Linked DNA regions of Sus scrofa. The protein of the gene in region 2 interacts with the protein of the main gene of each other region in a pairwise test. Links are inferred from orthologs where the notes say so. Each region holds a gene or a part of one and is shown on either strand. Other genes may lie near its edges. The genes, in order: NPY, NR1H2 and NCOA6.

What was found.
Region 1: the proteins of NR1H2 (region 2) and NPY interact in a two-hybrid assay, tested with the Homo sapiens proteins (3 studies listed by BioGRID and IntAct). The link is inferred for Sus scrofa from reciprocal best matches to the Homo sapiens genes NR1H2 and NPY.
Region 3: the proteins of NR1H2 (region 2) and NCOA6 interact in a two-hybrid assay, tested with the Homo sapiens proteins (2 studies listed by BioGRID). The link is inferred for Sus scrofa from reciprocal best matches to the Homo sapiens genes NR1H2 and NCOA6.

The regions. Positions count from the first base shown.
Region 1 is NC_010460.4:47,990,888-47,995,056, forward strand, and holds the start of NPY (pro-neuropeptide Y precursor), read right to left. Parts: upstream 2,840-4,169; 5' UTR 2,658-2,839; intron 1,781-2,657; coding exon 1,593-1,780; intron 1-1,592. UniProt on the Homo sapiens protein: NPY is implicated in the control of feeding and in secretion of gonadotrophin-release hormone.
Region 2 is NC_010448.4:55,237,135-55,241,350, reverse strand, and holds the start of NR1H2 (oxysterols receptor LXR-beta), read right to left. Parts: upstream 2,816-4,216; 5' UTR 2,659-2,815; intron 2,546-2,658; 5' UTR 2,411-2,545; intron 1,985-2,410; exon of another isoform or gene 1,871-1,984; 5' UTR 1,852-1,870; coding exon 1,806-1,851; intron 1,720-1,805; coding exon 1,588-1,719; intron 1,286-1,587; coding exon 995-1,285; intron 913-994; coding exon 641-912; intron 449-640; coding exon 269-448; intron 1-268. UniProt on the Homo sapiens protein: Nuclear receptor that exhibits a ligand-dependent transcriptional activation activity. Binds preferentially to double-stranded oligonucleotide direct repeats having the consensus half-site sequence 5'-AGGTCA-3' and 4-nt spacing (DR-4).
Region 3 is NC_010459.5:38,131,370-38,134,930, forward strand, and holds part of NCOA6 (nuclear receptor coactivator 6), read right to left. Parts: coding exon 647-3,561; intron 1-646. UniProt on the Homo sapiens protein: Nuclear receptor coactivator that directly binds nuclear receptors and stimulates the transcriptional activities in a hormone-dependent fashion. Coactivates expression in an agonist- and AF2-dependent manner.

The DNA.
Region 1 (4,169 bases), on a different chromosome or scaffold from region 2:
CCCCTGAAACTCAAGTCCCTTTATGTTCCCCGCATCAAGGGTGTTGGAGATGACACAGTGTTGGCGGCGGTGATAACATCTAGGGAAGATCAGTATGAGGGCTCCAGCGTAATCACCCCTAAAAAAAGCTTTCATGAAATGTTCTTAGTTTCACGATCTATAAAATGGAGATGATTATACTCATTTCAAAGCTTTGAGGTGAAGACACCAAAATAATGCCTAAGAAAATTTCGAAATGCTAGCGCTTTCTACAGGTAAAGGTTTACAGCAGTCATCTTTGCAAAATGAGTTCTACTGTATGTTATAACAGACTAAATCGCTAACAAACACTTTCCTAGAAAAAATTAACAATACCTTTTTTTGTTTGTACGGTTCTTTTCTCTGACCTGTATGATAGCATACGCAGGAATCAAAGCAATTAACTTTCTGAAAAGTCTATTAAGATATTTCATGAAAATGATCAGTCTTCAGGGATCATAAACCAATACTATTTAATTCTGGCACTTTCCTGTATTTCTGTTTCTATATAAATCAGTACTTTAAAAAGACTTTCAGGTTGAAACAGATTTTAGATGAAACAGAAAAAAAGAAAACTTTAAGAAATATAAATTCTGTCCCACTTGGGATCCTTTCCAACTATTCCCTGAAATAGGGTTTAAAAAAACCAAAACAATGCTTCATAAAACAATTTAAAATTGTTCAGTAACATTAATGTTTGTAAAGGGTACCTTGTTTTTAGTTTATTAAGGTCATTTGATCTCAGTAATTAAATTAGGATATGAATGATTCAAAACTAAGATGAACCAATTTTGGAAACAAATTTTAAATCCTATGTTATTTGTAAAACCGTTTGGATTTGATTTTTTTGCGTAAGATCTGATATCGAGAGTGAAATTCTTAGCTTTCCGGGAATTCAGAATAAAGACAATTCCTCAAACTACATGTGATCCCTGGATGCACCCGAGAGTGAATAGACCACTGTTAAGTTTCTCCTTAATAAAGCATCAAGTGGGCATTTTCTTTTCAGAACTCACCTACTACGAAATGGGAAAAGTCTCAGCATTTTAGATCAACTGTTTACATGCTAAATTTCTACTTATTAGGACCAGGATTTTCAAGCAAGGAGCTGAGAATGCAATAAAATACTCTACAGGAGGGATAAAACCAATTCTATTTGTCTTTCCCTGAATACAGTTATTCAGTTTGGTCTGGGCAAGTTGGAAAATCTGGCATTGTCTTTGGCGACCCAGCTGTTTCCTCCTTGGTTTGTGCTGTTGTTTTTCTAGACACCCAGCTCACCCTTCTCCCTACAGTACCTCCCTGGCACCGTCCTGATGCCTTTCTCGGGGTACTCTCCTGTCTAGATTTCCAAACAGTGCACCCCTCCCTCCACCCAACAAAAAAAGAAGGTAGTGAGAGATGGTCAGCCACACAGCATTTACTGAGAGCTGAGTATGTGTGTGTCTGATAACTACCCTGCATGGGACACAAAGAAGGAAAAGAAAGGTCTCTGTTCTCTAAGGCCCCCAGGATCTCTGGGGTACGCAGGCAGGGCGCTCCCAGCTTCACCCACCCCGCGGTAGCCCACCTACCTCTGCCTGGTGATGAGGTTGATGTAATGTCTCAACGCCGAGTAGTATCTGGCCAAGTCCTCCGCCGGCGCGTCCTCTCCGGGGTTGTCGGGCTTGGAGGGGTACGCCTCGGCCAGCGCACACAGGCACACCAGCAGGGACAGGGCGAGGGTCAGTCTGGACAGCCCCAGTCGCTTGCTACCCAGCATCTGCGGGCACCGAAGGCGCAGCGGATTCAGAGGACACACGCCCCTCACCTCTTTCCTCTGTATCCCCGCGCCCATCTCTCTGCTACCACCCCCACCCCTCCACCCAGAGGGGTGCTGAGCGTGGCGATTTAGGCCAAGATCTACTTTGGCCCAGCTCCTCTACTCCGCCCGAGAACTCCAGGCAACTTCGGTCAAGTTGCAGAGCCAAAGATGCTGCGGTGAGAGGTGCACAGTTGGGGCCCCCCAGCGCCAGTTTTTACACTTTAAAAACAGATTAGAAGTTCCTCCCGCTGCGCTGAGGACTTATTCCGTTCCTACCCTCTTCCCCAAACCGCTGGTCAGAGGGAAGAAGTTTCTTCTTTTCTACTTTTGGTCGGCCCGGCTGCAGCAGCAGCTCGGCGGTGATGGCTGAGAGTACTTCAGGGTGGCAATTTGGGGGAGAGGGGAAAGAACTGTTCCCGGGGCCAGCCAGCCTCAGATCGGATCCCAAGGATCCCGAGAGGTGGCAGAGAGCGGGTCTTTCAAGCTCCGGGGATTCCTCATCGAGGGGCGCAGCCTGGGCCACCTCCCTGCAGGCAGCGACCCCCGAGGGTCGTGTTGTCCCTGCATAGTTGCCAACAGCTAACCCAGAGGGATGCCCCCCCCCCCCCGGGACGGCTGGAGAGAAGGGCGGATGCACCATTAGAGCAGACGAGGTGGAGCAGGTGGAATCGAGCCGCCAAGAGGGGCTGGCGCGCGTCGGGAGCGCAGAGAGCGCGGCGCGTAGGGGTTGGGAAGCGAGGCGCTACCCTCCAGCTCCCCAGGCGCCCGGGGCAAGTTCACGGGCGCTCCCCACCCGCCCTTAGCTGGGACCAAGCTAGAGGGTCGTGGCACTCACGGTGGTGGCGGGCTGGCCGGCGGGCGTGGCTGGGCGACGGGCGCTCTGCTGTCCGGCGCGCCTCTCCGAGGGGTGAGAGCCGGCGGATGGGGTGTCGAGAGCAGGTCGCAGCAGGGCTTTTATGGCGCTCCATCGCCGCGGCAGGAGGGGCCTCGGGCAGTCACGCTCGGTGACTCCCACCCGCCACTTCCCGCCCCCGAGTGGCGGCGGCGGGCGGGGGGGGGGTAGTGGGGGAGGGGGCTGTGGCGGCTGCCGCGGGCGCGTCGACTCCCAGAGCCACTCACTCTCTGCCCGCCCTGCCCGGGGAAGGGGGGTGACTGGCAGGATGCGAGCGAGGCAGCGCGTTCCGAGGGCGCTGGACCACGCCAAAGCCCAAGTTCCTGCCTTGGTGCAGCAGCCCAGCCTCGCTGTCCCCACGCCCCGTCTAATCCTGCCGGAGACAGGAGCAGTCCAGAGCATCTTTGTCGTCTGACACCGGGACTACCCACCAGCCGGGCGCCGGGGTAGGAGGGACCCGAATCCTCTGCTTGGTGGAGCCTGTGCGGGAGACCCGGGCGGCAAGGGCAGGAACACTCCTCCTGTGCGCTTTCGGGGGAGACAACGTGGTGCCCAGATTTTTCTGCGCTTAAAGCAGGTCCCAGGAGCCTGCCCGAAGTCCCGATCTAGAGGGTCCCGTCGGCCCCTTCCTCCCAGGGGCTGAGGAGAGGCTTCTGAGGCTTCGCTCCTTTCTCAACCTGTTTTTCGCGGATATCAGCCCTCCCCAAGAACGCCGCCAAACACGCGGAGCCCGCTCGGCACCTGAAAACTCCCAGGCGGGACACTGTATGGGTTTGCCGGAACAGAGCGCCATTTGATGTGCCGAGAGACCCCCTAAAGAGCAAACGAAAAATGTTGGTCCAAAGCTACTGGGTAATTAACTGAACAGCAATTTCTCTTTTCTCTGCTGGCCTTTGCCTGGTCCCAAAAAGGTCCATGCGCGTTGATTGAGAATGTGGGTCCTGATTGAAATGAAACAGGTCAAAACACCTGATCACCAGTAATGGGCACAGCGCATTAAACCTGTGGAATGAAGAGCAGACACACATAAACTATTTTTACAGGAGCAGGATCTCATGCAGTGGACTAGGTCTTAAAGTTCCCCCAAAGGAAAGCTTCTAGAAGTCTGAAGCTTTCTGACTAAATGAAATGTTAGGAGATTAAAACGTTCAGTCACACATCATGTTGATGCGAAAATGGCAAGTGACTGTGTTAAACTGAAATGTGGTTTGGGTGCCATTGGGACAGCATTAAATAGCAGTTATTATGGGCAGCAAGCAAGTGTGTGTGTGAGCGACAGAGAGGTTTTGCAGATCAGCATCCCTTTCTCTTAGGTGATTCCTCTTTCCACACGCATGACACAAACACAAATGCCTGTAACACAAATACCAGGCTCTAGGCGTCGGCTTCGGTGAAAAAGCCTTTGGTAAAGTCAGAGCAAAACACTTTCTAACTTTGATCCCATTCTTCATAAGG
Region 2 (4,216 bases):
GGGACAGGGCCAGGTGTACACACTAGGTACTCAATGCTTACTCCAATTCTCAATTATCCTCAGAGCCTCAGGCCCTGTTTCCTTTCTCTCCATGCCTCGTGGGAGGCTCTGATGACTTGCTTAGGTCTCCTGTAGAATGTCATCCCCACAAGGACAAGGACTGGAGTCTTGCTTGTCCCTCTGCTCCCAGCATCTTCCTGGGGCTTATTGCTGGGTTCCGAGGGCAGGATGGAAAGGCCTTGCTGAGGCCGGGAGGGCTGGCCATTACCTCAATGGTGGATGCCTTCAGGAGGGCGATCTGGTCCTCACGACCCAGCTGCAGGAAGCCAGGCACCTGCTTGGCGAAGTCCACGATCTCCTGAACTGAGATGATGGCCAGCTCCGTGAAGTGGGCGAAACGCTGCTGGCGAGCATCTCGGGACTGGGGGTCTGCGCCCAGGGGCCAGGGCTGGGGATATGGGGCGCCAGGTTACTCTCAGGACTTTTCCCAGGGGCCCAACGCTATGGGCCCCTCGAGACAAAGCCGAAACTCCCTAGGAGCCCCTCCTCTCAAAGCCCCTGCCCTCTGGAGCCACATCCTCCCCTGGGGCCTTGACCCCTCGGGGCCCATCACCCCTCGAGGCTGGGGAAGGGGCAGTACCGTGACTTTGGGCTGGTCCGAGAAGGAGCGTTTATTGCACTGCAGCTGGGCCGCCACCAACTGCTGGATCATCAGTTCCTGCGCAGCTGTTAACTGGATGCCCTCGCCTTCCCCAGAGCCCTGGCCACCCCCGTCGGATCCTCCAGGGGAGGCCCCCGGCCCAGAAGCCGAGCCGCTGCTGACTCCGGGCGCTGTGGGTGATGACTGCTGCTGCTGCTGCTGCTGCTGCTTCCGAATCTTCTTCTTCCGTATCTGCTCTTTGGAGAGGACGCCTGGTGGGGAGACACGGGCTTCAACAGAAGCCCCAGGGCTGGGCAGGGGCCAGGCTGGCACCGCTTCCTTCCTGGCACTCACACTGCTCCCTCATCCCAGCCTCCTTGCACTTTCTCAGCCGGCACTGCTGGCACTTGCGCCGCATGAAGGCATCCATCTGGCAGGTTCCACCGCCCCGGCAGGCATAGCGCCCGGCCCCGCCTCGGATCACACTTCGCCGGAAGAAGCCCTTGCAGCCTTCACAGCTGAGCACGTTGTAGTGGAAGCCGGAGGCCGTGTCCCCGCACACTTGGCACAGCTCGTCGCCCAGCATCTTTGGAGCCGGGCCCTTCTTTCGCTTCCGCTCCGGCTCCTCTGCTGGGTCTAGGATGACTGGCATGAGTGGACAGAAGCCATGAGAGACAAATCCACAAAGATAAACGGTGGCCAGAAGGGAAACATCCACGAAAGATCGGAGGCAAAGAACCAGAGTGAAGAGGGTGACCCAGAGAGATGACGATGAGAGAGAAAGATGTGTATGTCAGTGAACCTCAGTGGACCAAAATAAGAGGTGGCAAGGATGCCTGGGAGAGGAACTAGCGCTGCCCGGCCCCGCTTCTGCTCTTTCTCCCTTCCTAGATCCCACCTCAAACCTCCATACCAACCCCAGTCCGTGTGCCTGGGCGCCATCTCACCCACAACGGAGGCTGAGCCGGCCCCGTCAGTGCTCGGGACATCAGGGTCCGCCCCTCCGGGCAATGGCTCAGGGCCATCCTCCTTTCCATCGGATGAAGACGACAGAGTGCTGGGCTGAAGGGGACCATTACCTGGGAGATGGAGGCACAGTGGGTTTCTCCTGACAATAGTCTGATGGGGCGGGGGGGCAGTGGCTGGGTGGGGGAGAGTCACTCACCACCAGGCAAGGGGGTGTCCAGGGAACTCGTGGTGGGGGTGGACATGGTGGGGTCACGGAGCAGCCTGCAGAATACAGGGGGCCTGAGAGCCTTGTGGGGCCAGAGAGGGTCAGGTTACGCCAGCCACAGGTCTCAATGGGGCACCTCCCTCTTCATCTCTTCCAGACTCTTCACCCTACTGTGTACAAACCCCACTCCCAGCCCCTGACAGCCTTCGGACCCTCCCACCCAGTTCTAACAGGCCACGCCCCCTTATGCTCCAGGACAGCCCTCAGCAGGGCCAAGCCCCGCCCTCCCCTAGACCCCAACCACTCCTAGATCCCGCCCACCCGCTTTTTCCAGAAACGTCCCGTCCCTTCGTCCCTGCAGTTTCAAGTGCTCTACCCTCACTTCCTCTCTCCCATCCAGTTTCACCCCACCTACTTTTACTCAGACTTCACTCCACCTCCACCGAGGAAGCGCCCTCATCTCTCATTCTGATCCCACCTCCTCCCATTATGCTCCGCCCACACCTCCTAGGTCTCCCCATCCCTTCCAGGCCCCGCCCCACCCCCTCCCATCACATCCTGCCTCCACCCCTTCCCGTGATGCTCCGCCCCCATACCTCTCTCCAGGTCCCGCCCCTCTCCGAACACCAGTGGGGGGCGGGGCTCATGGCTGCGCGCGAGGGTCTCGTGGGCGGCTTCTTGTGGGGGTCTCCTACTTTTGTTGCCCTGGAAACAGCCGGCGGCGGCGCGAGCTAAGGAAGGGAAGGGGTGGAAGGAGAGGAGGGGGCTGAGCCAAGCAGCGCGGGGAACGCCGGGAAGCCCCAGGCCCAGGGCTCCTCCCGCGTCTCCCCACACTCGGGTGCACCTGCTTTCGTCCCCTTGTTCTGCTTCTCTTCTGCCGCCTCCGTATCTGCTGGCACGGCGCCGCGACTAGGGTCCCCTCAAAAGTAACTTCGCCACTTCTTCCGGCAACCCCACCACGCGTCACTTCCGGAAGTGGGCGTGGAGTCAGGATGACGGAATTCCGGTCCGTCTAGGGGTAGCCTAAGCGGCTGTCTCTTACGGATGGCGGCTGCCGCCCGGAAGTTCGCGTTACCGGGTAGCTCCACGGAAGGCCGGAAGAAGAGTTCCGGTTCCATTCAATCCAAAGTGGGGCGGGAGGGCGGCGTGGCTAGTCCCAAACCTCCCTGCCCCGCCCAGTGTTGCTTTAAACTCTGCCCTGTGCCTCCCTGGGCTCGCGGGATTTACCGGCGTCGTCTCCCCGGCTACAGCTTTTTTCCCCCCATGGCTCTTCTAAAGCGTATTTGTTCTTTTTTGGTTGTTATAATTTTTTCAGATTTTGGAACTGAGCTGCTTGTTGGTTTTAAATAAGTTAATTACATACCTAGACGCAGAAAAAAAATGTATTTTAAAAATAATTCGGGAGTTCCTGCTGCCCGCCAGTGGGTTAAGAATCCGACTCCAGTGGCTCGGGTCACTGCGGAGGTGCGGGTTCCATTTGGCAGGCACATTGGGTTAAAGGATCTGGCTGTTGCTGGGCTTGAATTCAGTCCCTGGCCGGGGAACTTCCATTTGCTCCAAGTGGGGCCATAAAATAAATAATTTGGTGATAGGAAGAATTAAAAAAAAAAAAAAAGAAAGAAAGCTCCCTTGTGACTCAGGGGGTTAAAGATCCGGTGTTGACTCTGCAGCGGCCCGGGTTGCTGCTGTGGTACGGGTTCAATTCCCTGGCCCAGGAACTTCCACCTGCCACAGCGTGACCAAAAAAGAAAAGCAAAAAGAAAACTCAATACTTGGACAGGTAGAAGATGAGAGTTGTTCCAAAGTCTTTTCAATTACAATTAGATCTATATCGAGCATATAAGCATTTTTTAAAAAATGGGAGTATTTCGTTCCTGGGTTTCTGCACCAAAAAATAAACAATAAAAAATTTTAAAATGGGAATATATACTCTATGGTCTCTTTTGACTTGTTTTGTCCATTCCAGCGTGGCCTTCAAGCTGTGGGATTTTCCACCCGAGGTTGTTTACCAATAAAGCAGAGTGACTAACACGGCATTGGGAGATGACTGAACTCCCGTGTACTTAGGAGTGGAGTTTCTGAGTTCTACAGTAACTCTGTGTTTACTTTTTTTTTAACATGTACAGATGTAAAACAAATTTTAATTGGCCCCAAGCAAATGATAGAATGGCACAATACTATTTACAATTCACCAGAATTCTCCATCCTTAGCATGAAGCTTATGATAAACACAGAAATTGCCTATAAAATGGAAAAAGAATTTTTTTCAAACATAAAGCAACCCCCTAGGGGCATTTCAGGATTTTGTTCAGTTACATGTTTGTTTGTTTTTGTTTTGTTTTGTTTTTTGGCTTTTCTGGGGCCACTCCGTGGCATATGGAGGTTCCCAGGCTAGGGGTCAA
Region 3 (3,561 bases), on a different chromosome or scaffold from region 2:
ACTAAAGTTTTGAGTAGTCATGTAACTTGCCTAAGGCCATACAGCTGGTAAATGCTGGCACTGTGATACCAACCTAAGCCTATCTCTCAACCACTTTGGTCCTCTCATGTCTATTATGGTGAAACCTGGTTTTTTGGAAAGCTCTCCTATGGAGAGGCAAGTCAGAAGAGAACAGACCCTGACAGAATACAATGAAGAAGCTGTGAGATAACTGTTTTGAAATAGCTGAAAGCACTTTGGTGAGGAGAATCCACAGAAGCTGCTGTTCACCCAATTTAACAATGTTAAATTGGAGACTCACAGGATAGATTTTGAATGAAAACTGAACCCTTGAGCTTCAATCTTTTCACCCGTAGAATGGCGTTAGGGATACCTGACATAGTTGATACTTCTTTGTAAAATGAAATATTTTATATAAATGAAAGGTGTTTCATTATTTCAAGAGCTGAGAACCATGTTAATGAATGTAAACTTAACAGAGGATTTTAAAAGAATATTTTCCCAATGTATTTCAAATAAATGGAACTATCACTATTGCCATTTAGCCCATTCTTCTTCCTCCAAGTAGAAAAGAAGTCATGCTTTCTCTTGTGGGATAGGTCATCTAAAAATTCACATGAGATGATGCCATGCCCCGAGTACATACCTATGCTGGACAGAAGCTCTGGATGAGATCCCACCTTCTCCTCCACTAGGCCACCTGCAAGTGGCTCAGATGTTATGCCAACATGATTGCTTTTTGTGGTCGGCGCCGCAGAGATGAGCTCAGAGGGTACCAGAGTGGTTACTATTGAGCGTACATTGGTGGGGAGAGTACTGCCAGGTAAGCTGGGTCCTGCTGAGGCGGAGCCCGGGCCCACAGGGCTAGAGGTCACTTTTAGGAGAGTGGGTGCTGGGGGAGTTGGGGTTTTACTGTCCAGCTCTGTGGATAACTGCTCTGTTCCCATGAGCCCTGGAGCTGCAGTCTCTAGCCCTTGGCTTTCAGTCTCTCCATCTGCACCATATTGTTCTTCCCCTTTCTCAAGAGAACCTGTAACTTTTTTACAAGCTTTCGTCAGCAAAATCTGGCCGATTTTGTCCACTTTTCCTTTGCCCTTACTAGATGAGACTGGGCTTCGTCGGTTGACAGAGGAGCCTGGACTATTAGTCAAAAGGGGAGAAACCACTGTGGTTGACTGTGAAGAGGGCAGAGTGCTCTGATCTGCTGAGGTGCTCACCTGAGGACTAGTCTCATCTGGATTCAATTCTTTCACTTGTTGGACAGGGGCATGAGGAGGGACAACTGGAGAAGCTGTACAAGGTGGGGACGGAAGCTGAACAGGCGTGGCTCGTGAGTTAAGGACCAAGGGTCGACCTGTCTGTATGTTTGGAGCAGGACTACTGGAGGGTGCATTAGGCAGTACAGGAGCAGAAGAAAATTTAATATTCTGAGGTATGTGTAGAGGGCCAACGACTGCAACAGAGGGAGGCATCAAGCCAGAGTTGGTTGTCAGTGGGGCTGCAGGAATTGTGCTTGGCTGTGATCCTTTCATAACCTGAATTATTGAGGACGAATTGATAAAGACAGGTGTAATGAACTGAGGCCGGGCATTTGACTGAGCAGCTGACTGTCCCTCAGAAACCATAACCTTGCTACCCACATTGGGCATTGTGACGACCGTTGACATTAATGCAGATTGCAGGTGAGTTGGCAGAGCCGCTGATGTGTTCGCTGAAGTCGTGATGGGGTTGGAAGTTACAAAAACAGTTATTTGATTTGGGGGCAAAGGAGTGGAAATGGAGGAAGAACTGACAGGTCTTGACATTACTTGAGGGATGCTTGGTGCAACATTAGAACTGACCTCACTCAATTCTGGATGCACAAGGGTTGAACACGGCTCGTTACTGTGAGGTAAATTTAGGGAACCAGTGGGTTCTTTAGAAGAAGACGGATCCTGCAGTGTGGGAATGACGGATGCTTTTTTCAGGTCCTCTCCAGAAACTACTGGGGGTGTTACTTCCAGATCTGTAAGCCCGGGGGGTTTTATGGTCACATTAGGAGCTCCAGAGTTGTCAAGAAGTTGACTTAATGATGTTGGTGCTTCCCTCATAGCAGGAGACACCAAAGTTTTGTTCTCTTCGACACTGGGCAGTTTGTTAGGATCCGAAGGTTGCCCATCCTTTTTGGATTGATCTTCAGGAACAACCATTTTAACTTCTTGGGCTGGGACTGCTTTTAACTCAACATTTACCTGTTCCTTCCTACCCTGGGAGTTCTGGCAATCGCTGTCCTGAGGCACATTCAAGCTTTCCTTGTTATCCTCGAGAACACCCCCTACTGCAGCAACAGGCATAGTAGGATTCTGAGGATTCAGTCCACTGTTGTTAGGGAAGCTCCCAGGTACAGGAGGATTGGGCAAAGGAGTGGGACTGACCAATACATTTCTTGGCAACTCCACATTTTGCAACAAGGCTGTGTTTGTTTGCGAGGCCAGAGTAAGTTTAGGAGCTTTTGAATTTTGTCTCCCAGGACTTGGGGTGGTTTTCCTACTTGACCCAGGACTAGACCTGCGGCTGTTGCTTGGACTTGCCCGTTTTGTTGCTCCAGAATTAGACTGCTTTCCAGAATTTACCACCACAGAATCTAATTTGTGAGTCTGTGGGGCAGCAAAATTGGAAGGATTATTCATGGAAAGATTTGAAGGTGCTTGCCCTATGGCCTTCAGAGTTGTTGGATTTAGTCCTTGTTGATCAAACCCCCTGTTTAAATTTGGCCTGGGAGGTAAAGGAATATTAATCTGTGGGGGAAAGAGTCCTGCTATGGAGGCATTGAGTCTTTCTGGTGATAGACTGATTTCTGAAGGTTCTGTGCTGGGAGGGCGGTTGTTGGGAGTCTGAGGATAATAGGGTCTGGGGCTGGCTCTGTTTGGTGTTTTAGGCCTAGATGTTTGGGTTGGAGCAGCCACATTTGGAAAGTGGTGGCCATGAGAGCTGGGCAGGGAATTTACAGGAGGTTGCTGGGGAGTTGCACCTTGAGTTGCTGAAAGGGGTGATGGTCCAGGTTTTGGCCCTGTCATCATTAACTGATTCTGGGAGACTACTAAATGTGAAGGCATGCTGTTTGGGCCTCCTGAGACCGATGGTACTTCACTGCCACTTGCCTCAGGGAGCGAGGACATCTCACCTAGCGGTGAACTGGAAGGATTCTGGGGGTTCTCCTGGTATACCATTTTCCTTGAACTATTTCCCAAAGCAGTATTCACAGGCATTGGCATTCTTTGTTTATCAGGTGATGGTGGCACGGAGGCAGGTCCTTGCAAACTGACCATGACAGGCACACTGCCACTCTGTTGCATGGGCATTCTCTGGGAGTCTGGGTTCAGGGGACCCCTTGGGGGATGGACATTCTGGGAGACTGGAAGTCTAACTGATTTGGGGTCCTGTTGCATCATGAGCATCATCATCATTTGTTGCTGCTGCTGCTGCTGCTGCTGCTGCTGCTGCTGCTGCTGCTGCTGCTGAGACTGTGGCTGACTGGGAGGTGGTGGCTGCTGTGGTGGTGGTGGCAGTTGTGGCTGTGGC